Saccharomyces cerevisiae S288C: one gene and its partners. The main gene of each other region encodes a partner of the protein of the gene in region 4 in a complex. Each region holds a gene or a part of one and is shown on either strand. Other genes may lie near its edges. The genes, in order: SEC13, NUP116, NUP84 and NUP145. A codon is read from its position in the direction of its gene.

What was found.
Region 1: the proteins of NUP145 (region 4) and SEC13 are in contact, whole or in part, in a crystal structure (PDB 3IKO), measured with the Saccharomyces cerevisiae proteins. Residues at the interface, in NP_011423.1 of Saccharomyces cerevisiae: Ile744 (codon at 4,752), Glu747 (codon at 4,743), Arg748 (codon at 4,740), Arg749 (codon at 4,737), Phe750 (codon at 4,734), Thr751 (codon at 4,731), Ser753 (codon at 4,725), Tyr754 (codon at 4,722), Thr755 (codon at 4,719), Phe756 (codon at 4,716), Ala757 (codon at 4,713), Lys758 (codon at 4,710), Phe759 (codon at 4,707), Ser760 (codon at 4,704), Thr761 (codon at 4,701), Ser763 (codon at 4,695), Leu765 (codon at 4,689), Leu766 (codon at 4,686), Thr767 (codon at 4,683), Lys768 (codon at 4,680), Lys773 (codon at 4,665), Ser774 (codon at 4,662), Gly775 (codon at 4,659), Val776 (codon at 4,656), Ile778 (codon at 4,650), Leu781 (codon at 4,641), Pro782 (codon at 4,638), Glu784 (codon at 4,632), Arg1045 (codon at 3,849), Gln1046 (codon at 3,846); in NP_013309.1 of Saccharomyces cerevisiae: Asn9 (codon at 3,607), Glu10 (codon at 3,604), Leu11 (codon at 3,601), Ile12 (codon at 3,598), His13 (codon at 3,595), Asp14 (codon at 3,592), Ala15 (codon at 3,589), Leu17 (codon at 3,583), Asp18 (codon at 3,580), Tyr19 (codon at 3,577), Tyr20 (codon at 3,574), Lys22 (codon at 3,568), Arg23 (codon at 3,565), Leu24 (codon at 3,562), Thr26 (codon at 3,556), Phe36 (codon at 3,526), Val38 (codon at 3,520), Gly40 (codon at 3,514), His43 (codon at 3,505), Leu45 (codon at 3,499), Pro55 (codon at 3,469), Trp57 (codon at 3,463), Arg58 (codon at 3,460), His63 (codon at 3,445), Pro64 (codon at 3,442), Lys65 (codon at 3,439), Gly67 (codon at 3,433), Thr68 (codon at 3,430), Tyr75 (codon at 3,409), Ser101 (codon at 3,331).
Region 2: NUP145 (region 4) and NUP116 share a complex: the UniProt entries of both Saccharomyces cerevisiae proteins name them as parts of the nuclear pore complex.
Region 3: the proteins of NUP145 (region 4) and NUP84 are in contact, whole or in part, in a crystal structure (PDB 4XMN), measured with the Saccharomyces cerevisiae proteins. Residues at the interface, in NP_011423.1 of Saccharomyces cerevisiae: Tyr852 (codon at 4,428), Lys855 (codon at 4,419), Thr856 (codon at 4,416), Asp857 (codon at 4,413), Asn858 (codon at 4,410), Gln860 (codon at 4,404), Val861 (codon at 4,401), Ala864 (codon at 4,392), Leu865 (codon at 4,389), Lys868 (codon at 4,380), Ile897 (codon at 4,293), Val909 (codon at 4,257), Val910 (codon at 4,254), Ser913 (codon at 4,245), Lys914 (codon at 4,242), Ile917 (codon at 4,233), Ser919 (codon at 4,227), Lys920 (codon at 4,224), Asn921 (codon at 4,221), Gly922 (codon at 4,218), His923 (codon at 4,215), Leu924 (codon at 4,212), Ser925 (codon at 4,209), Val926 (codon at 4,206), Leu927 (codon at 4,203), Ser929 (codon at 4,197), Tyr930 (codon at 4,194), Leu931 (codon at 4,191), Gly932 (codon at 4,188), Ser933 (codon at 4,185); in NP_010167.1 of Saccharomyces cerevisiae: His97 (codon at 4,920), Tyr99 (codon at 4,914), Ile148 (codon at 4,767), Leu153 (codon at 4,752), Lys154 (codon at 4,749), Ser155 (codon at 4,746), Cys156 (codon at 4,743), Asp157 (codon at 4,740), Leu158 (codon at 4,737), Asp159 (codon at 4,734), Leu162 (codon at 4,725), Arg163 (codon at 4,722), Asp204 (codon at 4,599), Ile206 (codon at 4,593), Ser207 (codon at 4,590), Cys209 (codon at 4,584), Met210 (codon at 4,581), Ile211 (codon at 4,578), Cys213 (codon at 4,572), Gly214 (codon at 4,569), Gln216 (codon at 4,563), Tyr218 (codon at 4,557), Asn220 (codon at 4,551), Val222 (codon at 4,545), Ile223 (codon at 4,542), Thr225 (codon at 4,536), Thr233 (codon at 4,512), Gln234 (codon at 4,509), Gln235 (codon at 4,506), Gly236 (codon at 4,503).

The regions. Positions count from the first base shown.
Region 1 is NC_001144.5:558,017-563,181, reverse strand, and holds SEC13 (GTPase-activating protein SEC13), read right to left. Parts: upstream 3,632-5,165; coding exon 2,738-3,631; downstream 1-2,737. Other genes in the region: B-type cyclin CLB4, read right to left, coding at 1-1,174; PNP1 (purine-nucleoside phosphorylase), read left to right, coding at 1,450-2,385; ubiquitin ligase complex subunit HRD3, read right to left, coding at 3,893-5,165. UniProt on the Saccharomyces cerevisiae protein: Functions as a component of the nuclear pore complex (NPC) and the COPII coat. It is one of 5 proteins constituting the COPII coat, which is involved in anterograde (ER to Golgi) double-membrane transport vesicle formation.
Region 2 is NC_001145.3:360,337-368,487, forward strand, and holds NUP116 (FG-nucleoporin NUP116), read right to left. Parts: upstream 6,370-8,151; coding exon 3,028-6,369; downstream 1-3,027. Other genes in the region: YMR046C (gag protein), read right to left, coding at 969-2,291; CSM3 (Csm3p), read left to right, coding at 6,645-7,598; ribosome biogenesis protein ERB1, read right to left, coding at 7,758-8,151. UniProt on the Saccharomyces cerevisiae protein: Functions as a component of the nuclear pore complex (NPC).
Region 3 is NC_001136.10:250,034-256,773, reverse strand, and holds NUP84 (Nup84p), read right to left. Parts: upstream 5,209-6,740; coding exon 3,028-5,208; downstream 1-3,027. Other genes in the region: ATG20 (Atg20p), read left to right, coding at 1-141; YDL114W (short-chain dehydrogenase/reductase), read right to left, coding at 244-1,170; IWR1 (Iwr1p), read left to right, coding at 1,648-1,729, 1,800-2,779; CYK3 (Cyk3p), read right to left, coding at 5,536-6,740.
Region 4 is NC_001139.9:336,355-344,886, reverse strand, and holds NUP145 (nucleocytoplasmic transporter NUP145), read right to left. Parts: upstream 6,982-8,532; coding exon 3,028-6,981; downstream 1-3,027. Other genes in the region: MF(ALPHA)2 (Mf(Alpha)2p), read left to right, coding at 1-96; LIF1 (Lif1p), read right to left, coding at 303-1,568; NBP35 (Fe-S cluster-binding ATPase), read left to right, coding at 1,845-2,831; kinetochore-microtubule binding complex subunit SPC105, read right to left, coding at 7,248-8,532. UniProt on the Saccharomyces cerevisiae protein: Functions as a component of the nuclear pore complex (NPC).

The DNA of each region.
Region 1 (5,165 bases), on a different chromosome or scaffold from region 4:
TTCTGCTCAGAAAATACGCGCCAGCAGCTAACCAGCTTGGTGCCGCAGCCACTAGTTTGGGTTCTACTATTGTAGTTTCCAATAAGTACTTTGCTAATGTTCTTGGTTCGAAGTCATAGTCATCTGCTTTACTTATCCTTCTTAAAAATGGCATGGGTCCTGGCCAACCTATTTCAAATTCCAGAGTATCTATCATATACTGTTCCGCTCTAATAATGTCATCTCTAGTGTATGTATTTTCCAGCATGTAAACTAGATCATCCAAAGTGGGGCAGTTAATCTCTTCAAACTTGGCAGCAATAAATAAAGCCGATACACCAACCAATTGAAACCTGTTCAAAGTAACGGTCTTCTTTGACAGAAATCTATCCACTATATTAATCGTCAGGTATAGCGTTTCTGGTAAAAGTTGAAATCTAAAATGCAGTTGAACTAGCCAATCTATCATAGTTCGTCTGAACGGCCATGTAAGCTCTACTTGATTTTGCATATAGTAGGGATTAGGCCTATATTTCACTTCAAGTTCTCTCAAGTAATAGAATATGTCGGAAGCGTACTCCACAACCATCACAACATCATGGGTATCATCATCCAGCGGATTGGGAACCGACCGAAAATATTTTTCAAACGCCCTGTCCAGCTCAGTCTGAATTTCATCGTTGTTTATTGGTGATAGTGGTTCAATTTGACTATCAACATCCTCTTCAATGACATCTTGCATTTCTCCATCGAAATCTTCATACACTTCATCGGCTTGAATCTGCTGATCATTTACTCTTCGACTTAACAAATCATCAATAGCATCTTCATTAACTTGTTCGTCATCAGTAGAAGAGCCTTCAGAACTATCAATTAAAAAATAGTCGCTATCTTCATGCCTTACGTCTCGTTGTTGTTCTTTTACCAAGGCCGATGAGCGTATGTTCTCTATTTCAAAATTGTTCTTCGTCTGATGGAATTTATTATGTATAGCATTGTGTATTTTGTTTGCCTTTTGAGAGGTTACATCACCTAATGCAACCCTCCTTTGTCTTTTTTCTAGCCTTTTTATACCCTTTTGAACTCCTTGGTAAAGTACGTTCTTAACTTCTTGGTTTGCATTTTCGTCCTGAATTTCAATGTCACCTATCAAAGTAGACTGTGGAGGTTGTACCGTATACCCTTCAAGCATCATCTGTCAATTTCCTTGTTTGATCAGGGCAGCCTAGTATCCGGTATAGTAAGCAGTTTCCCAAATACGACGTTAATTATCAAAGAATTAAAACTTTATGCGGCCACAATAAATAAATATCTTTCTGATGTTTCCATTGTTTTTGTTTTTGTTTCAGTGTTTACAAAGCGCAAAGAAAAGGAAAATCTCGAAGCAGAGGGCAGATAGGGCAGGCATAACTTTAGGATAATCTTGCTAATCTTCTAGAACACATGAGAAACTCCGAATAAACTTAAAAGATGAGTGATATCTTGAACGTAAGTCAACAACGTGAAGCAATTACCAAGGCCGCTGCGTATATTTCTGCTATTTTAGAACCACATTTCAAAAATACAACAAATTTCGAGCCTCCGAGAACTTTGATTATATGTGGTTCAGGGCTTGGTGGAATATCTACCAAGCTGTCTAGAGACAATCCACCCCCGGTAACAGTCCCATACCAAGACATCCCAGGATTCAAGAAAAGTACGGTTCCAGGTCATTCCGGTACACTAATGTTCGGATCTATGAATGGTTCACCAGTAGTATTAATGAATGGTCGTCTTCATGGATATGAAGGCAACACATTGTTTGAGACTACTTTTCCTATTAGAGTGCTTAACCACATGGGTCATGTTCGTAATTTAATTGTCACTAATGCCGCTGGTGGTATAAACGCGAAATATCAAGCCTGCGATTTGATGTGCATTTATGATCATTTAAATATCCCTGGCCTTGCTGGCCAGCACCCATTGAGAGGTCCTAACTTGGATGAAGATGGACCTCGTTTTTTAGCCTTGAGTGATGCATATGATCTGGAGTTGAGGAAGCTTTTATTTAAGAAATGGAAAGAGCTCAAGATTCAAAGGCCACTGCATGAAGGTACTTATACTTTTGTATCTGGACCCACTTTCGAAACAAGAGCAGAATCCAAAATGATAAGGATGTTGGGAGGAGATGCTGTCGGAATGAGTACTGTTCCCGAAGTCATTGTTGCAAGACATTGCGGATGGAGGGTTTTGGCCTTAAGTTTGATTACCAATACTTGCGTGGTGGATAGCCCTGCCAGTGCGTTGGACGAATCACCTGTACCCTTAGAAAAAGGCAAAGCGACTCACGCTGAAGTACTGGAGAATGGTAAAATCGCCTCTAATGACGTGCAAAACTTAATTGCTGCCGTAATGGGGGAATTATAATTGTTATAACTTAAATACCTCTATTTATTACATAGCGGGAAGATGTACCTTCGGCCGGTAGAATAATTTCGCCTGTTCTATTGAAGAAAAACAGTCTTATATATCTATTGTATATACGTCGATTATTTTTGTTCGCTTGTTTTTGTATAAGAAATATCTATGACAATATTAATATAAGAAGTTGCAAAAAAAAAACAAAGAAAAAAGTTGAAAAGTTTTTGAAAACTTCCACAAATCTTTAATTGTTATACGTTACTGTACATTATGCGTTTATTTCCCTTCAAATTCGTCGATAGACTCATTTGCATTCTTTTTTCTTTTGAGATGTTTCATTTTAAATTCTTGATACTCTTCACTGATGAACTTCACCAGCGGGTTCCCATTTACCCTCAAGATTTTCCTTCCATAAAGTAACTTTATTATCGCCACCGGAAAGAGCTAGTACATTACCTGACAAAGACCAACTGGCTCTCCATAAAACATCTGGGAATTTTTCTTCTTTTAATAAAGTTTTTTTCCATGGGCCTTGTTCATTGTCTTGAGTCCAAATAATACAGGTGCGATCTTGAGAAACACTGGCCAAATAAGAACGTAGAAGAACAGTAGGTGACCATGCTACGTCTCTAACCCAATCGCTGTGACCTTCTAAGGTGCTTTCCAGAACATAAGTTTGGGCATCTGAATTGTACTTCCAAATCTTTACCAAATTGTCAGCACCCCCAGTAACAAACTTGCGAGATTCTTTAGTACCGTTGTGTTCACCATCTTCTTCGATGGTAGCTGGAGCCCAAGAAGCAGAGTTAACGCCAATGGCATGAGCATCGATGATTATTGGGGAAGTAGTACCGTTTTCTTTGAACTCTACTACGGAGACCTTACCATCAGAGGAAGCAACCAGCAGTAGGGGGCCATATTCATGAGGAGCCCATTGAACAGAGTTGACAGAAGCAGAGTGGACAGCATGAACGGCAATTTGAGACCATCTACCGTTTTCTTCCTTCCAAATCAACACTTTACCATCATAAGAACACGATGCCAAAATGGTTCCGAATTTAGGATGTGCCCAATCAACACGCCAAACTGGGCCTTCGTGGCCAGTCAACGTGTCTATTAACTTGTGTGTTTCTCCTTCGACTTCAAAGATCTTGATTGTCTTGTCAGAAGAGCAGGTTGCAAGGCGCTTCCCATAATAGTCTAGAACAGCGTCATGGATTAATTCGTTGTGCGCATTAGCTATGACGACCATTTGTATGCTGATATAAAATTATCTGTTATCTTTGCGCTTGTAAGTTATTATTATTCAGAGCTGGAAGCCAATTGTATCACCTTCGCCAATGCACTTTCACTGTTCGAAATTGTGTTGATCTCAATGGGGTTAAAGCTCTAGGGTGGTAATTCTCTGTCGGTTTCGCTTTTTTTCTTCTCGCTGTTCGCTTTATTGAAAACTTTCGGGTAATGCGTGGGTGATTTCTATGGATAGTCTATGTATATATCTATACAAACCACATCATATGGCGAATATCTGAACATTGAAGTCCCAGCCCGGGGGACCTTGTGCTTGTTGTTGTTGTTGTTGCTCTTGCTGCCGGTTACCATTTGCATTTAATTGTGCTCCATTGAAACGGACATTCCAGCCTCTACGGGCCGCCAGTGTACTCATTAATATACTTAATAGGAATATCCCCAAGATACATCCCATCGTAACAAGATCCTCCATTTGGAAGCCCAAAATCTCGGAAGCCTCCTCTTGGTCGTCACCCCTATGGTTAGCTCCATTCTGCACTACAGTTCTGTGTTTGTGAGAATCTTCCGCAGCTTTGTCACTATCCTCCTTATGTCTCATTCTTTGTAGAATCTTCGTCAATTGCTTGTACCATGAAGTCTTCGAGTGCTGAGTATCTTCGTTAGGGTTAAGTGGCGAGGAAGGTTTCCAGTAGTTTACTTTTTCTCTGGTGATCCAAGTCAACCATGACTTTAGGTGTAATTTTAAAACACTCAATTTGGAAGCCAAGTAAAATCTATGATCGTGTTCTGAAACTTGGTCGTAGTAACGTTTAGCAAGATGGAAATCTCTGTTTACACCTAGCCCATGCTCATGCATGTACCCTAAGTTCCAGATAGCCTGTATAGAGTACTTCAAAGCTGCACCCTGATAAAGAGCCATAGCTTTACTGTAATTCTGCATCTGAAAATAGATATCTCCCGCGACAACACCAGCATCTATATTTCCCTGTTTAAACGCTCTTGTATAGTAGGAAATTGCCAAAGTTTTTCTCTGATCTGTGGTTCTTGGAGGATCCTCAAACTCATATGGCAACTGGTACATTAAGTAGGCGGCAGAGACTTGAGCAGTCTCGTAGCCTTGCTCGGCTAGTTGGGAATAAGCCCATAAAGCCACTTCTGAACGATCGTTGATTAATGCGGCAAATGCTGTCCTCAGTTTAGGTGCCATAATAGCTTCGTTTTTGTCAACGAATGTTTTGAACAGGTAAGCAGTGTTTTCCACACTACTCTTACTGTTCATTCCAGATTCGATCATTACTGCAAACTCATATATGGCTGGAATGAATCCATTCAAGTAGGCAGTTTCCATTAAGTTAAATGGGTCGCCGATTTTTTCTTCAGGGAATGAAGTGGCCAATTTGGATAATTGGAATTCTACGATTCCATTGTTAGCTTGTGTTTTCATAGCTTTCATATAATACGAAATTGCTTGAGAAATATTGTTTGTGATGTATTGATTTATTAAGCCCAGATCTATGCACGCTCTACCTATAGGT
Region 2 (8,151 bases), on a different chromosome or scaffold from region 4:
CCGCTGTGGTTGTATAGCATGGAGTTATACCATTTTTTTCAAGGAATTTATGGAGAGTTCTGTTAGTATACTCAGAACCACGGTCCATTTGTATAACTAAGACACTGGCCTGAAACTGGTTTTTAATAAAAGCTAGTATCGTAGTAAAAACATCGAGGATAGAGTCCTCGCGACGGTCGTGTAATGGATAAACCCAACGGAATTTTGTTGTCTCATCAGTAAATGAGATGAAATAGGATGGTGCACTTTTTGGTAGGTTGTGAACTGGACCAAATATGTCAGTATGTAGGTATTGAAAGGGTTCGTATGAATTTTGGTATTTTAGTCGTGAACCTTTGATATGTCTGTGTTTGGTGCTTTTGCCGATTAAACAATCAGGACATTGATAGTCAATAGCACTAGACCAGTCGACATCTGATTCGTTAAAATACGTGATGGTGTTATTTTTAAGTGAGTATCGAATTGTCTGTGCATTGGCATGTGCAAGCATTCGATGAATGAAAGGATAAGGATATTTGCGTGTACTTTCACTTGTATGGACATTATTGATGGTGGGTACGGAGATATTTGATGGAAGCAAGTACTTTTTAGATACCCAGTAAAAGTCTCCATATTTTACGATAGGTGCAAGTACAGTGCCGTCAGATCGTTCTAAGACGTTTTTGGTAAAGCATGCTGTGATATCTACTGCAGCCAATTCATTCAAACTGAGTAAGTCATAGGCTATGTTAGGAGTGTGCAATACCTTTATTGATGTTTTGGTGTTGTCCTGGAAGTGAAATTGTAGGTCACCAATAGCGTTAATTGGTATATTTCTTTTTTGAGCATCAACTACGTTTATGTCAGGATTAGATGATGCTGAGTGTATGTGATGAGCAGATCTTATAAGGGTTCGTGATGCTCCTGAATCAAGAAGGAGGTGTCCAGGGAGTTTATCATCAGAATGATTAGTGTGATTTACCGTAGATTCAGTAAGTTCCTGGCCTAAGGTGAAGGTCGTGTGTATTCTTCAATTGAATCGGTTCAGTAGTCGATCCTCTTATGAGATCGTTATCAGGGCCGGGAGAGTTATTAAATGTGGATACGTTATGAGCCCTGGCTGTTCTTGATTGCGAATTATTTGGTTTTTGGGAATTCCGAGTTATGGATTTGGGTTTGGTTGTATTCGTATAGGTGCGAGAGTCTTTCTTCTCATCACTCGGACTTCTCCTATGAGTAGATTTATTACGTTTTGATTCCTGTTGTTCTTCATACATAGAATGTATGTCTGAAAACAGATCAGCAACTGTCATATGTATACATCGATGACGTGCGTAGCGTAAAAATTTGTACTCGCCAGATAGACCTCTCATAATGAATTGGCATGCTACCTTGTTATTGATAGGAATACCATTGTTGTTTAGTCTGTCAAGAATGTTTGTGACTTCTGCTTCAAATGCATCTGCAGGTGTACTTCCATTATAATGCAAAGTTGCTAGGGTCGTAATGTCATTTACCTCTTGAGTATCAGACTGCATTTTGTTAATGCTTTTGGAAAGAATTTTCATGATATCTGTATAATCAACAGATAAGATGTCTTTAACCCAGGGGGGTAAGAATTGAGATGGAGCAAATAGTTGAAAGGTGTGACATAAGAAGGTGAGTTCGTCATCAGTCATCTGACGTACGGCTTTTCTTGTTGCTGTCGGAATAATATCACCGAGATTCGAATTTTGTAAAAATTTAATGTATATTTTAACCCAATTGAGAAAGTCATTAGGTGAGGTTAAGATTGGCGGTGGTCTGACATGTTGATTAGTGGATGTCATATTAGACTTTGCTGAGGATGAATCAGGAAATGAATTACCTGACTCAGGTGACGGGGTGTTCAAATGTGTTCCAACATATTGTGGATATTGTGTAAACTGTGATTGTGCCCCAGGTGGAGCGTACATAGGTGACATTTGATAAGGTGGATACGGCATCAAGGATGGGTGCCCGTATACTGGCCAGCCAGAAATATTGGCTTGTTGGGTATTCATCATGCGCTGCTGTGGGTACGGCCCATTTTGTGGCAATGGTACTTGAGCAGCTTGAGGAGAGGCATGATGATGGTTCTCTGGAACAGCAGATGAGAGAGGTGTTGTTGGCTGTTGAGAATTAGCCTGAGTGGAAACCTTCTCACATTCTTCTGTTTTGGAAGCTGAAATGTCTAACGGATCTTGAGTTGTTTGGACTTCTTTAGAAGTAACCGAAGCACAGGCGCTACCATGAGAAATGGGGGAATGTTGAGATAATTGTTGGGATTCCATTGTTGATAAAGGCTATAATATTAGGTATACAGAATATACTAGAAGTTCTCCTCAAGGATATAGGAATCCTCAAAATGGAATCTATATTTCTACATACTAATATTACGATTATTCCTCATTCCGTTTTATATGTTTCATTATCCTATTACATTATCAATCCTTGCACTTCAGCTTCCTCTAACTTCGATGACAGCTTCTCATAACTTATGTCATCATCTTAACACCGTATATGATAATATATTGATAATATAACTATTAGTTGATAGACGATAGTGGATTTTTATTCCAACATCATTTTCAATGAAGCTGTGACCTTGGCATTCGCACCGCTTGACACTACAGGACGAATAAATTCCATGTTCGGGTGGTGGCTAGAGGTACATATGCGGTAAATGTACTGTATAGCCCAGCATGTTTTTCTTAACAATCCAAGTTTGCCATCTTAGTATAGTGGTTAGTACACATCGTTGTGGCCGATGAAACCCTGGTTCGATTCTAGGAGATGGCATTTTCTTTTTTTTTCAAAGAAAAGAAAAAGGGAAGGCAACAAACGACATGAATTATTGTCTTTTTCAAAAGGATGTAATTATCGCAGCAGGTCTATGAAGGGTCCCTTTTCTCTTTTTTATCACTTGTTCCATCTATAATTTTATACTCAAAAATTTAACAGGTTAATTACACTAAATGCATTACAAATTTGTATTTGATTCTATATATAGTTTCGTTATATAATAACTCAGGTCTGCTCTGCAGCGTGGTTTACGATAAACACGTATGTACCACTGTCTGCATCATAGCTTTCGAACTTAGAATTTGGATTTTTCTTTAAGCGTTCGATATGCCTTTTAACCAGTTGATGATTTGGATCCTTTATAGGTTTTCTGGTAGATTTGTCTACAGGATAACAGTTAAAGCAGGTAATCCTGGCCCGAACATTAATGCCCTCCCCTCTCTTCGGTCTGTTTGGTAAGTTCGCATATATTATACAGGTTTTTGGTTCAAAAGTAATGATTACGCCCCCTAATGAGGTCAAAGGAATTCCAGCGAGGTCAACAGGTTCAAGAAATTCAATTTTACCATAACTTTTATGACCCACAACTAAATGAGGAACTTTGCGCAGTTGCAAGAGAGAATAAGAGGATAATGTGTCCAGGGATGGTGAGATATAGTAGTTCTCATTAATGAAGGAGGCATCTTTTTCCGCAACGTCCGCAAAAACAGCCTTTTTATCATCTTCTGAATATTCTTGCTTCTGTAAATCGGCGACATTTTCTTTATTTTCTTCGTCCATATTCCGGGAATGATGTTTCGTTGCGCTATCTTCCCCATCGTTCTTTGAGGACAAAACCATTCTTTCCCCCCCATTAGCAGTTTCTTTTTCATCCATCTTTGGCTTTCCCAAGATCGTTTCTTGTTCTTCACTTTTACTTTTAAAATTCATATCGTTGTTCTGTGATCCGTTATTCTTTTCCTCGGATGCGATCAACATTTTCCTGTTATTAATTAGATTCTTGAATGACCTTTTATCGGGATTGAATAATAACTCAGAAGCTTTTAATATGCTTTCGTCCAAATTTTCCTCCTGCTGGTTAGAAATCGCAATCTGATTATTCTTTTTATCAATGGAAATCGACAACTTTGGATCAACCTTGATCTGGGCCTTATCCATGACGGAATTATTAGTCTTGAGCTTGGCTGTAAATAAAGTTTTAGGAATCATTTTGTATGCGTTCGTCAAACTGGCTTTTTTGCGTTCATCGGCTTTGATCTTTGTAGCGCTTGGTTGAATTGGATAGGAAACCGTGTTGGTGACAGTTGCTTTCGAAAAAAGCTCATTAGTACCGTAGGGATTGTTATTCTGAATTTGTAATCGTTGTTGCTGCTGCTGTTGTTGGAGCGCATTTTGTGATTGTGCCATTGACTGGGAAGGTTGGGAAAATAACCCTCCGCCCGAAGTGTTCGTACTAGTGTTATTCTGAAATAAGCCTCCAGCATTAGTAGATTGAGAGGTGTTATTACTACCAAACAGGCCCGTTGAACCGTTGGAATTGTTTAGAGACGAGTTGTTATTGTTTCCAAATAGTCCTCCAGCACTTGTAGAAGCTCCCGCACCAACTGGTTTATTACCAAATAAACCAGTAGAATTGGTGGTGGCCGCCGTGTTAGATGCATTATTGGACCCAAATATTCCACCCGAAGAGGCGTTTGGAGCCGTGGAATTAGTACCTCCGAAAAGGGATCCTGTAGCAGGTTTGCTACCAAATAATCCGCCGCTAGTTGAGGCAGGATTGTTTTGATTTGCAACTTGATTGTTTCCAAATAATCCGCCTCCAACAGTGTTTGATGGTTTTGAACCAAACAGGCCACCCGAAGCAGGTTGCTGTTTATTTTGGAACAAACCTCCTGATTGCTGCTGCAAATTATTTCCACTTATACCGTTACTTTGATTTGTTGTGCTGTTAGAGAATAAGCTTGTATTTCCAAAACCAGTTGGTTTCGCTCCAAAAAGACTATTATTCTGTTGTGGTTGTTGTAACCCATTTTGGCCAAATGGCTGATTATTATTTTGATTGGTCTGGCCAAACAATCCACCAGGTTGGGACTGCGACTGGTTGTTTTGTTGTCCGAATAATCCCCCGGTTGATTGCTGTTGTTGGTTATTTTGCCCAAATATAGAATTATTTTGGGCATTACCAGACGCAAAAGTGGATGCTCCCTGCTGTTGTCCAAACAGTCCTCCTGCAGGTTTGCTTCCAAATAATCCGCCTTGTTGCTGTGGCTGGCCAAATGCGTTTGAGGAGTTTTGTTGTCCAAATAATCCGGATTGGTTCTGGCTTTGGTTATTCTGACCGAACAATCCTCCAGCGTTGGAATTTTGTTGCTGGCCAAATAACCCTCCTCCACTTTGCTGCTGATTGGTTTGCCCAAATAAGCCACCAGTGGTACCAGTGGGGTTGGTATTCATTCCGAATGCTTTTGAACCAGCAGATTGTCCAAATAGTCCACCAGAAGCAGGTTTAGCTCCAAAAAGAGCACCAGTGCCTTGCTGTTGGCCGAAAGCGCCACCATTTGCGTTAGCGTTTGATTGACCAAATATACCACCACTACCTTGTTGTGTTTGTTGTTGGGGAAAGGCACCACGATTCACCTGACCAAAGGCTCCCCCGTTACTGACATTATTCGCCCCAAATGAATTTTGCTGTTGACCAAATAATCCTCCGTTTGTATTTGAGTTCTGCTGGCCGAAAAGGCCTGTATTATTAGTGCCGTTTGTTGGGTTGTTAGTTGTATTACCAAACAATCCCCCGGAAGTGGCAGGTTTATTTGCTCCAAATGCAGAATTTCCTGAGAGGTTAGTAGAGCTTCCAAACAATCCTGTAGAGTTGGTCGCTCCAGAGCCAAAGCCACCACCACTTCCAGTTCCGGTTCCAAACATGCCTGTTGCTGGCTTTTGACCAAATAATCCTCCTGTTGTAGCAGAAGTAGTGGAGTTATTATTACCCATAATTCCAAATCCAGTATTGGTAGTTCCTTGAGGATTGTTAAAAGTAGTACCAGTGCCATTTTGACTGGTACCGAATTTTCTACCAGCTTGGTAATCTTGAAATCTCAATTCTTCAAAAGAAAAATTTCTGTATTCAGGCATACAGGTGATACTTTGGAAGACGTTGATGACACCTGTGGTTGGATCCTTCTCTTCGAATGTAGTAAAAGGTTTAATGCTTGTACCTGCAGTAGAATTGGGCACAACAGAAGCGGAACCAGCAGAAAGTGCTGTGTTATTACCCATTCCACCGAAGATCGAGCCAGAGGCATTGTTGTTCGTCAATTGACTTTGACCAAAAGGAGTACCATTTGCTGTAGTCGAGCCTGACATTCCGAAGGGAGAATTAGAAGTTTGGTTACCAAAGTTACCAAACGCAGGTGCTTGTGTTGTATTTGTTTGCTGACTGAGGCCGAAAGCAGAAGTGTTTGCTACTGGTTGTTGTTGTTGCTGTTGGCCACCAAAGGTTGATCCTGTTGAGCCAAATGGCTGTGTTGTTGCGCTGGGGAATGCGCCACGGCTAACTCCAAACATAATAATGTTTTAAAAAAGAAATCTTCGAAGCTGAATGGTGCCTCTCAGTTGCCGGGATCTCTATGCAATGCTGATAGTTTCCTTTGCGACCTTATGACACTTTATTAACTCTAAGTATAATTTAGTTTTGTTCTTTTTCTAATGAGCATGGTAAGGAAAAATGCCGGGTAATGATAATCTGCAAAAGTGACAATAATAAACTGACGCGTAACAAGATCAATGATATACTGGATTAAAATGCCATGAAAACGTGAACAGAAACTTTTATTGAGGTCATGGATCAAGATTTTGACAGTTTATTACTAGGTTTCAATGACTCCGATAGTGTCCAAAAAGACCCAACTGTACCAAATGGCTTGGATGGTTCAGTAGTTGATCCTACCATTGCGGATCCAACCGCAATTACAGCTAGAAAGAGAAGGCCTCAAGTAAAATTAACAGCCGAAAAACTACTCAGTGATAAAGGTTTACCATATGTTTTGAAAAATGCACATAAAAGGATACGAATTTCCTCAAAAAAAAACTCATATGACAACTTATCAAATATTATTCAGTTTTACCAGCTTTGGGCACATGAATTGTTTCCCAAGGCAAAATTTAAGGATTTTATGAAGATCTGTCAAACAGTAGGTAAAACAGATCCAGTTCTTAGAGAATATAGAGTCAGCCTTTTTAGGGACGAGATGGGCATGAGTTTCGATGTTGGCACACGGGAGACTGGGCAAGACCTGGAAAGACAATCACCTATGGTTGAAGAACATGTCACTTCCGCGGAAGAGAGGCCTATTGTCGCAGATAGTTTTGCGCAAGACAAAAGGAATGTAAACAATGTCGATTACGATAATGACGAAGATGACGATATCTATCACCTTTCTTATCGCAACAGAAGAGGACGAGTTTTGGACGAACGTGGGAATAATGAAACGGTACTTAACAACGTTGTGCCGCCTAAGGAAGATTTGGATGCATTATTGAAGACATTCAGGGTACAAGGGCCCGTTGGCCTTGAAGAAAATGAGAAGAAGCTCTTATTAGGATGGCTAGATGCGCATAGAAAAATGGAAAAAGGCTCTATGACTGAAGAAGACGTTCAACTGATTCAAAGTTTGGAAGAGTGGGAAATGAATGATATAGAGGGACAACATACTCATTATGATTTATTGCCAGGGGGAGATGAGTTTGGCGTAGATCAAGATGAGTTGGATGCTATGAAGGAAATGGGCTTTTAGCAATGTCATTGAAGGTAATAATCCAAACGTGCGTGTGGGCATCTATACATATAGGTTTATATATATTGTGTAAATAAAGCTTGTAGAAAGAGCCTGGTTCGAGTGTTTGATTTTTTCTTCTTGGGCGTTATTATACAATATCTACTTCAAATTATTTATCTAGGTGGTCCATAAGCGAGCCGTATTATCAGCACCGGCAGAAAACAGCCAAGCTTCCCTCGGATGCCAAATAGCATCAAGAACACCCAGACTATTGATTACTTTATGACCGGTTAGTTTCTTTAGTGGCACAATCATCGGATTTTTCATCATGTCATCATAAACAGTGGCATGGAAAACATGTATGGTACCGTCATCAGCGGCAGAGCTGAATAGAGGTAACTTTTTGTGGAAATTCACACTTCTGACGGCTTTTTCATGATATCTTAGTGTCTTGTAAGGTGTGCTAGCCAAATCCAGGTCGTGCCATAAAACTCTCTTGTCAAACGATGACGCAATTAAATTATCACCCCTTGGGTGAATATCGATTTTCGATAACCAACGGGCACCAGGC
Region 3 (6,740 bases), on a different chromosome or scaffold from region 4:
GACCAGCTACCTAAATTTTCTAAAGAAAGGGAAGTAGATTTATCAGAAATTTTAAAGCATTATTCCAGATATATGAGAAATTATGCCCGTCAAAATTTAGAAATTTGGAAAGAAGTCAAAAGACATCAAGATTTTGCATAGTATTATGAGCATTTTTTTTTAGCGTTATAGCATACTTGATATATATATATATAAACAACGTGAAGATCAAATAACGTCAAATGTATTAAATAGACTAAAATATTATGCACTTCTCTTCGGATTTATTGCTCGCGGGCTGGTTGACGTTACATGGTCCATTCCACTGAAATGTTTTAAGAGATGCCTATATGGCCAACTCAAAGTTTTGAAAAAGGGAACTAGGTTCACATAATATGGGGCATTTAGTGTTTGCAGATGATTATGCTCCATCGCAGAGATTATCGCTAGTGCCAGTTGGGAAGGTATGATGTCAGGAGCCAATAACTTAGATGGTGTAGGGACATCAATAAACATATTAGTTTTGATTTTTCCCGGGCACACCAGTAGTGTTTTTATTCCAGTTTTATTACATTCCGTGGACAAACTTCTGAAATGCCTGCTCATACACTTGTGAAAACCAATCATTGCTCCTTTTGATGCACCATACGATGTCAGCCTTGCAGGAGTCAGTTCTCCGAGGACTGAAGCAATGTTAATTATAAAGCCTTCCCTATTGTCTATCATATCTTCTGCAAATGTACTGATGATTCGGTAAGCACCTATTAAGTTTATGTCGATCAATTGTTCTACCTCCTTGTTTGTCATATGTTCTAACTTTTTGATGTGAGCAACACCAGCATTATTTATAATTATATTAATGTTGCCATGATCTCTTTCAATAGCTTTTTTCAAATTTTTAATTTCATCTAGACTTGTTATGTCGCATTGATAGTAGAAAATGTTATTATATTCTACCTGAGCAAAAGTAGGAAATGATTGAATATCTGCCACAATAACTTTATTAATTCTTCTGGAAAGTTCCTTTGCAAGTTCAAATCCGAGTCCACTAGAACCACCGGTTATTAGTGCAGTTGCATTTTTAGAAAGGATGGAAGGGTTGTAGCTGGGCAGACTTAGGATGACTGATGGAAAATCCTTGAGGTGTTTTGTAGTTCCACTCGCTCTATTTATTTTATTCTTGCGTACCATAATTAATAATATTTCTTACCCATAAAACTATGTTAAATATGTCACTGAATCTCTATTGAGGTGTCCTTTTGATGATGCGGTTTCAGATATGAGAAATGTTCATTCAAGAAGTGTCACAAATTCTGTTCCTCTGCTGACGCCCGCTACATATTGACGTTCAAAAATATAGAAGAAAAAGGCAGTAAAGCGTTAACATAAGAAAACTAAAGAGCAAGTCTGATTTGGCACTACCACGCTTCCAACAGAAGTAATTGTTGCTTCAAATAAGTTCGCAGCATGTGGATTCAAGTCCACAGATGCGATATTTAGGAGCCCAATCAGATAATATTGATTCCGGGTTATCTCTTGTTTGTGTCGGCACAGGGGATTTAAATTGTGTAATGCTCAAGACAAGTTATTGATGAGAACAAGAGATGGTATATAAAACTGCTCTCTGAGGTATAGCTTTTGTTGAGGTAGGCATACAAGATTTCGGGAATGAGCACTATTAGTACCACAACGGCACCTGAGTTTATCAGAGTAAAGAGAAGAAGGGATGAGGATTCTGTGCAGGCATTATGTATGTGTTGTTATTCTACCGATATAACAAAAATGCGTTTGACTAACTAAGTTCATCTGGGACAATTCAGTAATTGATGAGGGGAAAAGAGTGAAGAAGCAGAAGTTCATATTTAAATTATCAAAGACTGTGAGCTCTGAAAGCTATCAATCCGAGCAAGAGTCTTCTACGCCACTCTTAAAACTGGCTCATGAAGATCATCGACATTTTGTATTGGAACAAAGAAAAAAAAGTCGTAGAGACTCAGATGATGAAAAATCACAACAGCGGCTTGCAGCAGAAGGAAGTACTGTAGATGACGATGGGTTACCGCCAGAGATCAATCAAATGGTGAATGACTATTTAAAGTTGAATAAAGGTGTAGAAAAGACAGAAAGAAAAAAACCAAGTAGGAAATATTTTACTGGGGATTCTGCAAAAATTGCATCACTACCCAGTTTAGATTACGTTTTTGACATCTACCATTTGGAGAAAATTCATGACGATGAGGTTGCTAGATATAACAACGAGAAAAATATAGGGTTTGTGAAAATTATTGAGCATATAGATTTGGCTCTTGATGAAGAAAGTGATCCCAATGAAGCCCGTTCAGACGATGAGGATTCTAATGACGAAAACTATTACCAAAATGATTATCCGGAGGATGAAGATGATGATAGATCTATTCTATTTGGTAGCGAAGGAGAGGATATAGCTGCATTGGGTGAAGAGATTGTTATAGGGGTTAATAAGAGCAGGTTTTCCTCTTGGAATGACGATAAAATTCAGGGATCTAATGGGTACCACGATGTGGAGGAAGAGTACGGGGATCTTTTTAACAGGCTTGGAGGAAAAAGTGATGTCTTGAAATCCATAAATTCCTCGAATTTCATTGACTTGGATGGCCAAGAAGGTGAAATAGAGATAAGTGATAACGAAGATGATTCTGATGAAGGAGATGATATTGAATACCCTAGAAATGAATTTTTTCCGACGGATGTTGATGACCCATTGGCGCATCATAGGGACAGAATTTTTCATCAGCTACAGAAAAAAATTAATAGAAGCTAAATTTGCCGTCAGAAACTGTTCAATGTATGTAAGTAACTGCATCTGTAATTTTATCTTTAGATAGTAGAAAATTCATGTTTAACCGCTTTTTCACTTCATGAACTTTTTTTTCTCCGGTGTGGAAACACAAAGATTCAAAGCAAAACTATAAAAAATCACGTCAATTACTTCTGAAATAGATAGAAGAAATGCATAAAATTATTGCTGTTTACTTAAAATATAAACTTATTCTGCAATACATTAATTGATCAGTTCGAAAGGGTTGCTGTGCGAGCAACGAGATCCAGATACTCTTTTAACTTTCCACTAGATTGGAATAATAAATAAATCTTGTCGTTCTCATTAGCGACCAATGAGGTAAATGCCAGGGCTTCCGAAATAAATTTTGGGATCTTTAACAACTTTGCGGCTTCCACTAACTTTTTATGCAATTCCATCAGTAGAAATGGAGTATATAGGGCTCTAATCTCATACAGGATTTCATAATCTGCCGAATCCGCGAAATTAGAGGAAGTTAAATCTACTAAAAATGTCTTGATCAATTCAAATGTATCCTTTGAAAAACCTTGCAATTTCTCTATTAAAGTAGGAATGTTCGATTCAGAGCTTAACAAGCTAACGGATTTTTGCCATTCTTCATATTCTCTTATGCCCTTTATCAAATGCTCATATTGAGTTATTTCTTCCAAAAACTGATCTTCATTTTCATCCTTTGATATGTTATCGGCTATTTTCTCTAATTCATAATTCTTGCATATTTCTCCAATATTATTTCTCTCCATAAATTGTTCGAGAGCCTTTACGCGGCCATTTAACAAAAATCTCCTCGATAAGGCAATGATAGAGTGGACAGCGTCCACATAAAGCTTCCCTTCAATAAGCCATTCCACGCCATATATTAAGTGCATATCAATGTTGTTTACATCGAAAGATATGGAAATTTCGTTAGATGGTGAATATTCTTGTTCGGTTTCATCGAAAACACGCTGTGTGGTTCTTCTCAAAATATTTGAGGCAGGTAATCTTAGAAAGTTTATTGTCTCAATTTGCTTTTTCCTTACTTGGGGGTCCTCTAAAGAAGACAATATGAAAGAGCATGCCTCTAAGCAGTCTGACTCATTCAGGAAAGTAGCATATATTGGAATATTTTCATAAAGGCCTTGCAATTTCAGAAGACTGATATACGTAGTAATGAGCTTGGACTTATCAACCTCTTCAACAGAACCTGGATTAATTATATCAAGGCAAATGGCTAAATGTGTAACTATCCTCAGAAGATAAGGCTTATCTATAATATCGTTACTAGCTTCGGTTCCCTTGACGACATCAAGCAACATTTCCACGGATGAATGAATAACTGATGGCAAAGAATCTAGTATGACAGATGCCATTAAAACTCTGATTGGATGTTCACTTTCTGAGGGATGCCTTGAAGCCACTCTATTAAGCACCTCTTGTACAGTTAGCGCGTGTGAAGGTAATGGTAAAATCAGTTCATCAGTACCTACTTGATTGTTTTCCAAAAGATAATTTTCAATTTCAGTTTGTAAAATTTGATTTAAGTGTATGTGCAGATCAGACTCCCAATCCGAATATTGCAGAACTTCTTGGTTGGGAATAGCGCCACTCAAATAGCTGTATATCGCCCTTTCATAAGGGTCCAAACCGGCCTGCTGCGAAAGGCTGTAAACTGTTCTTCTCCACAAAGAGTGCTTCTTGATACCTTGCTGGGTATTGAATTCGTTTGCAATTTGCGTATCAATGACAGGGTTTAAGTACTCTTGTATCCCACACAGGATCATACAAATTGAAATATTGTCGGAAAGTTTAGCTTCTTCTAATGCTTCATCAATCGCACCGGCCAAAATTAGTTCGTAAATGTATTTGAAGAAAATATGATCTTCTTCTTTATCTTTAACATCGAGGACATTAGTGTTTTCTCGTAAAGGAAAATCCAAGTCACAGCTTTTCAATCCTCCAGAAGTAATACTATTTAACCATTTTGAAGTTGGTACATTTTTGGGTCTTTCCATCACATATGTATTTTCTTTGAGCCAAACCATCACTATCCATATTTGATAAAGTTGTTTGTTGTCTTGCATTAATTTCTTTTCAAATAAACCCCTCGAGTTATAAGGATGAAGTTCCATTTCATCTAGATCAAGATCAGCGTTCCTGAAAACCAGTAACAGTTCTACTAAATGCCAAAATCTAGCTTCCAGTTCCCAATCCTTAGAAGATATGACGTTACTTTCATCTCCAGAATTAGCCAAATCTAACGCAAGCTGCCCCGCGGCTGAGCGAAACTCTCTTATGATGTTAAACGGGTCAATGGGGTTTTGCTCATTATTTTGTTCAATTTTGAATTCCTTTAAAGTGTCTGAGAACTTTGTGAAGCGTTCTGTTTGATAAGTAGGGGATAATTCCATTTGAAATGGCTATGTATTTTACTTCGAAGTAGCACTCAATTGGTTTTCAGGTTGAATTAGCTGATATACCTCGTTTTCGGACTTGCCTAAACAATTCAAATGTCGTATGTATTTGAGCATTTGGTCTAATTTTTCATATTTTCTTCACCGAAAACATCACTAAATACGAAAAAGTTGGACCAGCATAGCTTTTATGAATGCAATGGATAAATCATTAAATAATAAGTACTATATAGCCATATATGAGTTATGAAATTCACCTTCCTGAGTAGAATGTATGTTGAATGATACAGATTATAGCGCTGTAAAAAAATTTGTGAAAAACGTTTATACGCACAACCATTCAGCAAAAACGGACCACCCAATACCAGAGTCAGCGATCACTAAAGCGCTCCAGACGCCGGGCTCTTTGATTTTAATGCTTCCTTTCCAGGTACCATAAGGAAAGTGGGGATCGCTCTTGACTAGCTCATGAACTCTTCCTGAGGGTGATTTTATTGCCATTGGTTGTTTCCTATTTTGGTTCGGCCCTTCATCACTGCTGTATACAATACCATCGGAGGGACTTTGAATAACTTCGAATGAGTACTCATTACCAACAAATAGATATCTACTCTGTGGCTCGACAATGTATAGCTCAATCTTCTGAATGCTTTCTGAGGGTATCTTGATCACAAATTCGTATTTCATGTTACTTCCCTTATGTGTTAATGGGACCATCATGGACAGTGGATGGATATTGGCAATACTCGTTTGCGTACCTCTTACACCTGAATGTATGTACAGTGAACCTTTGTTCACATTGGGTGGTAGGACTGCTTTGATTAGAGCAATTCTTCTACCAGACTCGGCTTTCTGCTTTTTGATTTGGGTCAGTGCGAGTTCCATATTCCTGTACGCAGATGAAGCTTCTTCATTATCCGTTGGAATAACCACGGATGCAAAGACTTCAACGTCATTGGGAATTTCTAAGGAGCATTCGTAGATCTCAGAATCTTCCAAAAATGATAGTGCAGTACTAAATTTGTATAACTTTAACTCATTTTTGAAAAAAGATGGAAAAACTAATGGCAGATACAATGCAGATAATTGATCGATACTAGGAACAATATGCTGCTCAAATTCCCTAGGCGGTATATGTGTGTATATCATTTCTAATGGTGCCATCAAAAAGTAGCTATTTTCTGCTTTCTTGATCTTTCTGTTATTTACAAATTCATGAATTGGGTTGGTTACATTTCCTAAAATAACGTCAATAAATCTCCATTCTTTGTTAACCAGTATTCTCAACCAGCAGTGGTTATACTTAAACTCCCAATTTATAGCACTCGGTGTTTTCAGGAAACCTATAACAATTTCACAAGTGATTCCCAATGAGTTTGCTAATTTCTTGAAAAGCCATGTCAATTCATATGGCGTACAATGCTTTCTGTATAGTATTTTCTCTAAATTTTGGGGTTCCGCAGAAAAATCTGACGTTCCATTATCATCAGTCAGAGCAAACATCTCTGTGCAAAAAATGTATATGCCTC
Region 4 (8,532 bases):
TTAAATTTGAGACCAGGCCAACCAATGTACAAGAGAGAGGCCAACGCTGATGCTTGGCACTGGTTGCAACTCAAGCCAGGCCAACCAATGTACTGAAAAATGACCCTAAACTACTTCTAAACCCTCTCGATTTCTTTCACGTTCATACAACACCTAGTTTTATTTATTTTCTTTTCAATCTGAGTAGTTGAGTTTTCGATCACTCACATAGAACTATTTTTTGCCATTTAAATAAAGTATTCTCTCAAATGATGCGATACTATAATACTCTTTGCCATATATTACATTCATTCATAAATAGGCTATGTTTCTATATCCGTTTCCGATTCTGTCTGCAAGCAAGGTTCCCTATCATTACCGGATTGTTCACTATGGTTGGAGCTCTTCTTTTCCCCTGCACTTGCATCAGTCTCAGATTCAGAACCAGAAATGTCTCCGTAATCTTCATCCGATCTTCCTGCTGATATTTGAATACCATTGTCTTCTAAAGACACTAAATGTTTTTGAACATCACTGCTACTATCAGATTCAAAACTTATTGATTGTGTGTCATCTCCAAAAGAGGTAATATCATCGTACTTTTCACTGAGTTTATCTTTAGCAGTAATAATTGGCCTTTTAGAAAGTCCGAAAAATTGAAAGTCATCAAAATCGTCGTCTTCCATTTTGATCACGGATTGATTAGATATTTTTCTATTAGCTCTCCTCCGACTTGTGTCTTTCAACTTCTTTTGTAAATTTTGAGGCTCTACTACCGTCTTTCTTCGTTTCATTCTTTTTCCTGGAGAGTTTAACTCAGAAATTGGCTTTTGCACTTCCGTATTAATAAGCGCAGAATCTAAAACATCATCGTCAGACAATTTGATATTATTTTGTCGCAGAATCTCATGAAGCTCTCTTATTTTCTTCTTCTTCTCATTCAACAAGGTTACCATCATTGCTCTGGTTCTTTCATCACGTGTTTCTAAAAGCTTATCCAATAGCTCCCTTTCCCGAGCCAGCTGTTCAACTCGATTTCTATTGCTAGAATCGCTCTCCTTTATATTCCGGTAAGAATCGTTAACACAACAGATATCTTTATAGAGTTTATCTGCCATTTCAAATAAATCAATCTCTCCCTTTTTGACTGGATGCAAGGTAAGTTCAGCGATTTTTCTTATGATCGCCGATGACTCCAACTCCATAACTACTTTCCATACCTCATCATCTTGCATTCTGCACGTCCATTTTGTGAATACGACTTTTTCGTCTAACGATGCAATGTACACTTTGTGACCAGTTAACATTTTGAGTAGTTCATACCACACATATTTCTTAGACTCTTCATCGATATTTTCTCCCGTAAAGATTCGCAAATCATTGATTCCAAAACTGCTTTTGGAAAAAATTCCTGTACCTTCACTTACCAACATTTTCTCTATTCTAAGCCCTGAAAGACTGTTCTCATCTAATGTTTCCAACATAGCGCCATCTTCAATCTGAATCTTACAGAGGCCACGCTCATCTTCTTCATTTTGTTCTTCATTAACCACAGGGATACAGCTAATGAACTCCGTCAGCTGGGACATAGCACCCTACATAAATAAGTCATCCAATGCACAATTCTCTCAGTTCTATGCATTGACACGTCGAAAACTGCCGTTCATCTTATTATTCTTTAATATGGCTTTTCAAAATACGCTTCCGGGTACTTTTTCGGATTCATTAATGGTGTAATTAGTAATGCGTAGAAATATTTTGTATATAATAATAAATAACATGTTTGTCCAACAACTCGTAGGCTAGGCTAAACGTGAAGTCTTTCTGTTTTTGAGAACAACAGTATACATAAGTGATATCCAAGAATGACTGAGATACTACCACATGTAAACGACGAAGTGCTACCAGCAGAGTATGAACTTAATCAGCCGGAACCAGAACACTGTCCTGGTCCAGAATCAGACATGGCAGGTAAGTCCGATGCTTGTGGTGGCTGCGCCAATAAAGAAATATGTGAAAGTCTTCCGAAAGGCCCTGATCCAGATATTCCATTGATCACAGATAACTTGTCAGGAATAGAACATAAAATATTGGTTTTATCAGGCAAAGGTGGCGTAGGCAAGTCGACATTTGCCGCAATGCTAAGTTGGGCACTTTCAGCTGACGAAGATTTACAAGTAGGTGCCATGGATTTAGATATATGTGGACCTTCTTTGCCACATATGTTAGGCTGCATTAAAGAAACCGTCCATGAATCGAACTCCGGTTGGACACCTGTCTATGTGACTGATAATTTAGCCACCATGTCTATTCAATATATGCTTCCAGAAGACGATTCCGCCATTATATGGAGGGGTTCAAAAAAGAATTTATTGATAAAAAAATTTTTAAAGGATGTTGATTGGGATAAACTCGATTACTTGGTAATCGACACACCGCCCGGAACATCTGATGAGCACATTTCAATAAACAAGTATATGAGAGAATCTGGCATAGATGGTGCCCTTGTGGTCACCACACCTCAGGAAGTAGCTTTATTAGATGTACGGAAAGAGATAGATTTCTGTAAGAAGGCTGGTATCAATATTCTTGGACTAGTGGAAAATATGAGCGGATTTGTATGTCCAAATTGCAAAGGAGAGTCCCAAATATTCAAGGCTACCACAGGTGGAGGTGAAGCACTTTGTAAGGAATTGGGCATCAAATTTTTGGGGTCTGTTCCGTTAGATCCGAGGATTGGCAAGAGTTGTGACATGGGTGAAAGTTTCCTGGATAACTATCCTGACAGCCCAGCTTCGAGTGCTGTACTTAACGTTGTGGAGGCTCTGCGAGATGCTGTGGGGGATGTATAGTATATTTTATCAAAAAGAATAAAAGGAAGTGCATTAGAGGTCAAATCGTTTTATAATATAAATATCATTACCTTTAAATCTTAGACCTACTGAAGAACACTTTTACCATATATAATGCTACTAATTACTCCAAAAGCGTTAGCTTCAGTCCATGTTTTACTATTTTTCTTTTTTTTAGAAATAAAAATAAAAAAACTTATATCTTATATGTACACTTCATTAAATCCTGGGCAAACTCACCCCTCAAGTATGCCTTTTCTGGCTGCCCTAGGGGGAGCTCAAGCAATTTGGCCTTCGAATCGCCTATTGAAGGATTGTTTTTCTCCAATATTTTTGATACAATCTCTTGGGACATAACATTACAACATGCGGCCACTTCACGACAGTGCTTATACTGATCATAAAATATCTTCATACCACTAATTAATGAATCGATAGTCTCCTGCGTTTCAACATTATCCAACACAAGCTTTAGATATACTTCAAATACGTTTATACTTACACTCCATTTGTCCCTCTCAGAGTCTGGAAATTCGTTAAGAATTTCCCTCAAAGTTTTCAGTTCATTATTCTGTACAGGATTGTTTGATAACAACAGCCTTGGTCCTAATGACGTAACAATAGCCATTTCTGCCAAATCATAAGACGAACCCAGGAGTAGATTTTGTACTTCAGAAAGGTAATTGCCTTCATATCTATCTTTCAAAGCTTGAGCATTGAATATCAATTGCGAAGGGATCTTTAATCTATTTAAAATGTGATCATTGGTAGAGGCTCTTAACAATGTTATTTCACGCATAACAAGCCTTTTTATGGTATCTTCTGCTGCCTTGTCATCATTTAAAAAGCAAGAAACAAAAAGAGAGTGGCCATGTAATTGTGCAAATTCAAGTTGAGCGGCAAATGCGAATGTAGCCTCATCGCTAGTTTCCTTCGAAAAAACGCGTGTTCCATTAAATCTCAATGTTTGAATCAAGTACCAGCAAAACTGAACATCTAAAGCGTTGGTTCTTTGTCTAACCTCCTTATAGAGCTTCTCCGTATTTTCATTAGCAGCATATAGTTGGAAAATAACTCCAATAGGATCATCATAGGGTAAAGAAAACTTGTCTAAATGCGATTGCACAAGAGATTCTAAGGAATACTCATCTATCTGGCCGTAGCACAGTGTCAAATTCAAAAGGCACAACCAACTGAATTCACTTTCAAGTTCCTTAAGAGAAAATAAACCTTCAAAAGGTGAACCGCTTAGTAATTTGTAAATCTTCGAGATATTCTTGTCGATACTACAACCACCAGTTGACCACTTTTGCAATTGTAATTCCGCTAAATCACGTATCCTTGGGTCGTTTGAACCCAAATAGGATATCAAAACGCTCAAATGACCATTCTTAGACTCAATTGCTAACTTGGATGCCCTTACGACATCATTCAAGAGCAAATATAGAAATATTTGTTCTATTTCGTTAGAAGAATTCCTAATTTTCTCTTCAATTTCCGGACCTATCTGGCTAACAATCCACGAAGTTAATCGACAATGCCTTTCTTTTTTTAATAATGCCATTTTTACTTGATCATTGTCCGTCTTGTATGGATAGGAAACGGGGTCGAATAAAATAGATGAAAGTTTCCATAGATTGTAATCACTAGAGGTTTTTTCCATATAATCTAAAGCATCTTTAAAGAGTAAAGAGCTTTCACTAATTTGTGGGTATGGGTTTGACTTCCTTGCTTCGATAGTAACCTTTTCAATTTCTTTATCTAAATAGACGTCATCGAATAAAAATTTTCTTTGCAACTCAGTTGGTAAACGCTTAATTGAAACGCCCGATTTACCAACAATATCTTTTGTCAGTAGCATTGAACCTGTTGAAAATTTTGCAAACGTATAAGAGGCTGTAAATCTTCTTTCCTTCATGATGAGTTTTGCGTTATCAATTTCATCATTGCATTCGGAAAAGAGTAAATCTATTTCATTTTGACATGGCCCGTCAAATTCTTTAGAAGTGGCAAACACAGAACGTAGTGAAGACCCAGCTAAAATTAATTGTTCTACCCAATCCTTAGAAACGTCAAGTTTAGGGGAAGCTTCAATTCCCTCAAAGTCCGCATCAGACAAATCAGGTTCGTATGCCTTTTCCTCAACGATAGAGTCGTCTTTACCTGATAGAGTTCCAAAAGTGCCATCTGTTTTGAGGATAACCTCTTTATCCGATGGTTTTGATTGCGCTAACGTGCGCACCTTTCTTAATGGTTGCTCACCGCCGTCTTCTTGTTTACTCAAATCGTCTTCATCTATTTCCGCATCTTCTTCATTGACTAACCCCCAAATGCTAAAATGATTGACTTTGAAAGTCCAAGTCCCGCCAAAGGGATTATAGGATATATAGTTCATTTCCCTCATGCTTCTTAGTTTCCTGTCAAAAACTTGAAATTCAGCAAACTTCGTCGTATCTTTCATCGGTTTTTTTGTTTTTTTATCTACAGGATAAACATTCTCTAGAGTGATTATAGCGGGAACGTTTAACCCATGCCCAATCATTGGTTTGGTGGCTTCGTCAGGATATACTTCTACTGTCTTAGAGGAACGAAATATTACAATTTTACCGAATAGTTCTTCTCTAAAGCTTTTGGTAAAAGCTGTGAGATCCACATCATGTTGAAATGTAATACAACCATAACCTCTTCTCCCGATAACAAAATTTGAAACGGCCGCTAATTGCTTCAATGACAAACGCTCCAGCTGTTCTGGGGAAGGAGAACACCAATAACCAAAACTTGATGACTTTTCATGTTGTAAAGTATTTTCGCCGTCTTGTTTATTCAAGTTATTCGATTGCTCCTTTCCATTCAAATAAGTGTTATCCAAATTATTATCTCTATTTTCTTTCCTGTCAATGTTAGTGACACTATCAGCATTTGCAATTGGCTCATTTTCCGATGAATCTTGTTCGTCTTGCATATGTTTTTTTGTGATGGCGGGAGTACCAGAGAGGAGTTTTAATTTTTTTGCAGCACTTCTGTTGGAATCAATTTTCAATTTACGCAGCTCTGTCAAGTCGGCCCTTTGGGAGGATAGGAAATTAAAACCATTCTGAGGAAAGATGCTGTTTTCATTTGGAGCCAAAGAAGTCATCTTTGAAGAAAAAAAGTCATCTACTAAGGGAGCTGAACCTGCTCCATTCAGCCACGGTTTACTGTAAGACGGTGAAAATATTTCATTCGGTGACGTGCTTTTCTGAGTGGCTTTCAGTCTCGTGCTTAGTCTACTCACTAAACTTGACTGTGAGGCGAGTGGTAAAGGAGCGTTCCCTGAAACTGAGGAAGAAAACGAATATGTTCTTCTATTTTCAATTGGTTTGGGTTCCGCATCTGACTTGCCATTCACATCTGATAGAGAAGACGTAATAGATCTTGGCATGTCAGCCACTGCCATAGGAACATTACTTATGTTAATTCCATATGGGTTGGTTGACATGGTTCCAGTAGTTTCACCGGATCTTGGGAATGAAGCACCATTATTTCCAAACAATCCCCCAGTTGTTGAAGCTCCCGGCTTTTGACCAAAAATACCTGTAGAACTTTGTGTATTATTTGATCCAAATAATCCTGTCGTTGAGTTTGTCGATGAGGAATTTCCAAACAGGCCGCCAGCACCAGCAGGGGTTGTAGTAGGCTTACCGAACAGACCACCATTTTGCGTGGTAGAAGTTATATTGTTATTGTTGCTATTACCAAACAAACCACCATTTTGGGTACTAGAGGCTATATTATTGCTACCACTGAATAAACCTGTAGAGCCCGTAGAATTTGCTGTGGCATTATTATTTCCGAATAAGCTTCCGGCACTTTTAGAAGTAGTATTGTTTGTAGCGCCAAATAAGCCACCTGATGGTTGTGCTGGTTTATTTCCAAATAATGAATTATTGGCGGGTTGTTGACTTATAGAATTAGCGTTTGAATTGGCATTGAATAATCCACCAGATGGGCTAGGTGTTGAAGTATTCGCATTAACATTAACGTTCCCAAATAACCCAGTAGATTTTTGAGGGAATTGAAGGGAACTGGAAGGCTGTGCCGGAGTGGATGTCGGTGTGGATGTGTTTTGGTTTCCAAAGGTGAAACCACTATTTACACTTTTATTAAACATAAGGTGGCTACTGCTTCTCCTTTGCTTGTGGTTCTAAAAAGCAATAATAATTGTGATAGGTAACAGGAAACAACAAACGAGTTAATTCTTTCTAATTTTTTATCTTTCCAATGGTGATGTGATTGTTGTTTTTGTCCAAAATTTTTTCGAGCTTTTCTTCAAATTGTTTGAACTTTCCTGCCGGCGGGGCAGTTAAAAATCTTTCGTCAAAAACTAAAAAAAAGTGATGAGATATTACTAGTCATCGTTGTCCTATTATAAACACTTTACGTAAACTCTAAATGTATTCTACTTTTCGTAAATGAAGGAAGAACTCCACTGATCTTGTGGGTTATCCTGTCAGAGAGGACTTCCCGTGACGGTGAGTAATCTTGTTGAGTACTTATGTGAACTTTCATTGGAATTTGCCCATTTTCCGAGAATACGCCCTGAGCAAATGAGACAAGGGATATAACGTAAAAAAATGCAGTCTTGTTTCTTCTATCATAATCCTTGAACTGCAAAAGCGCTTCCTCTTCCTCAGTTTGAGTAATTTTCACCGGAAACAAGAGCTTTAGTAATTTTATATACTTCAATAATGGTCTCCACTTTTTCATAGCAAAAAAAAGGTTCGAAAGCATGCTATCTTGATGTTCGGCTTCAACATTCTTCAACAACATTGTGAATAAGTGGTAACTCATATCGTCATTATTGCTGTCATTCATAACTTTCATAGAACTTAACGGATTATTTTTAAAGTTTGCTAGATTAATATCCACTCTCAAATCATCCAGTTGAAGAAATGCAATTGAAAGTGTTGCCTTTGAGAATTTCAGAAAGCGTACCCCCGTTAATGACTCCAAAATTTTGAGAGTATCTCGTAATTTTGGCAAGTCAAACCGTGTGAACAGTTTTCGTTTTTCAATTTTCTTGTCTATAGAGGCGACTTCACTTCTTAAAGTTAGTATATCATTAGATTTTTTTGCAATAGCTAATTTAAGTGAACGCATTTCTTGGGTAAAATCATTGGAAGAACTCAACGATATGGAATGTTCCATTAACTCTTGTTTGAAAGCCTCAATTTTTATTCTATTCATTAAAGTAGGCTTATAAGAATCGGATGGTAAGTTTTTTAGGGACCTTATCTCTTCCTTTATTGCTTCATTAAGTTTTCGTATTTTGCCTCTGATGCTGTTAACTTTTTCAACTTCTTCGTTTAATTTTTCGTACTCCCTTTTCAAGGTATTCAAATTTTCTGCCAAAATTAATTCCAGACCATTTAGTTGCTTTTTCCTCCATTCATACCATTCCATTGCTGCCTCCAATTTCGAATATCCTTTGACCAACTGTAGCTGGTCCCTCATCAATTGCTTCATTTTCTCATCCGAGGAAAAATACTCCTGGAGCAGAAGAGGGGGATGGGATTTATCAATTTGGGCCTCAAAGTCCTTGAATTTATCCTTGGATTCATTAATACTTCTCCAAAGCTCCTTGCATCTGAATGCTTCCACTTCTAAAATGGGTATATCGATATAGAAGGCAGAAAATACGTTATCTATCCTTTGATTCTCC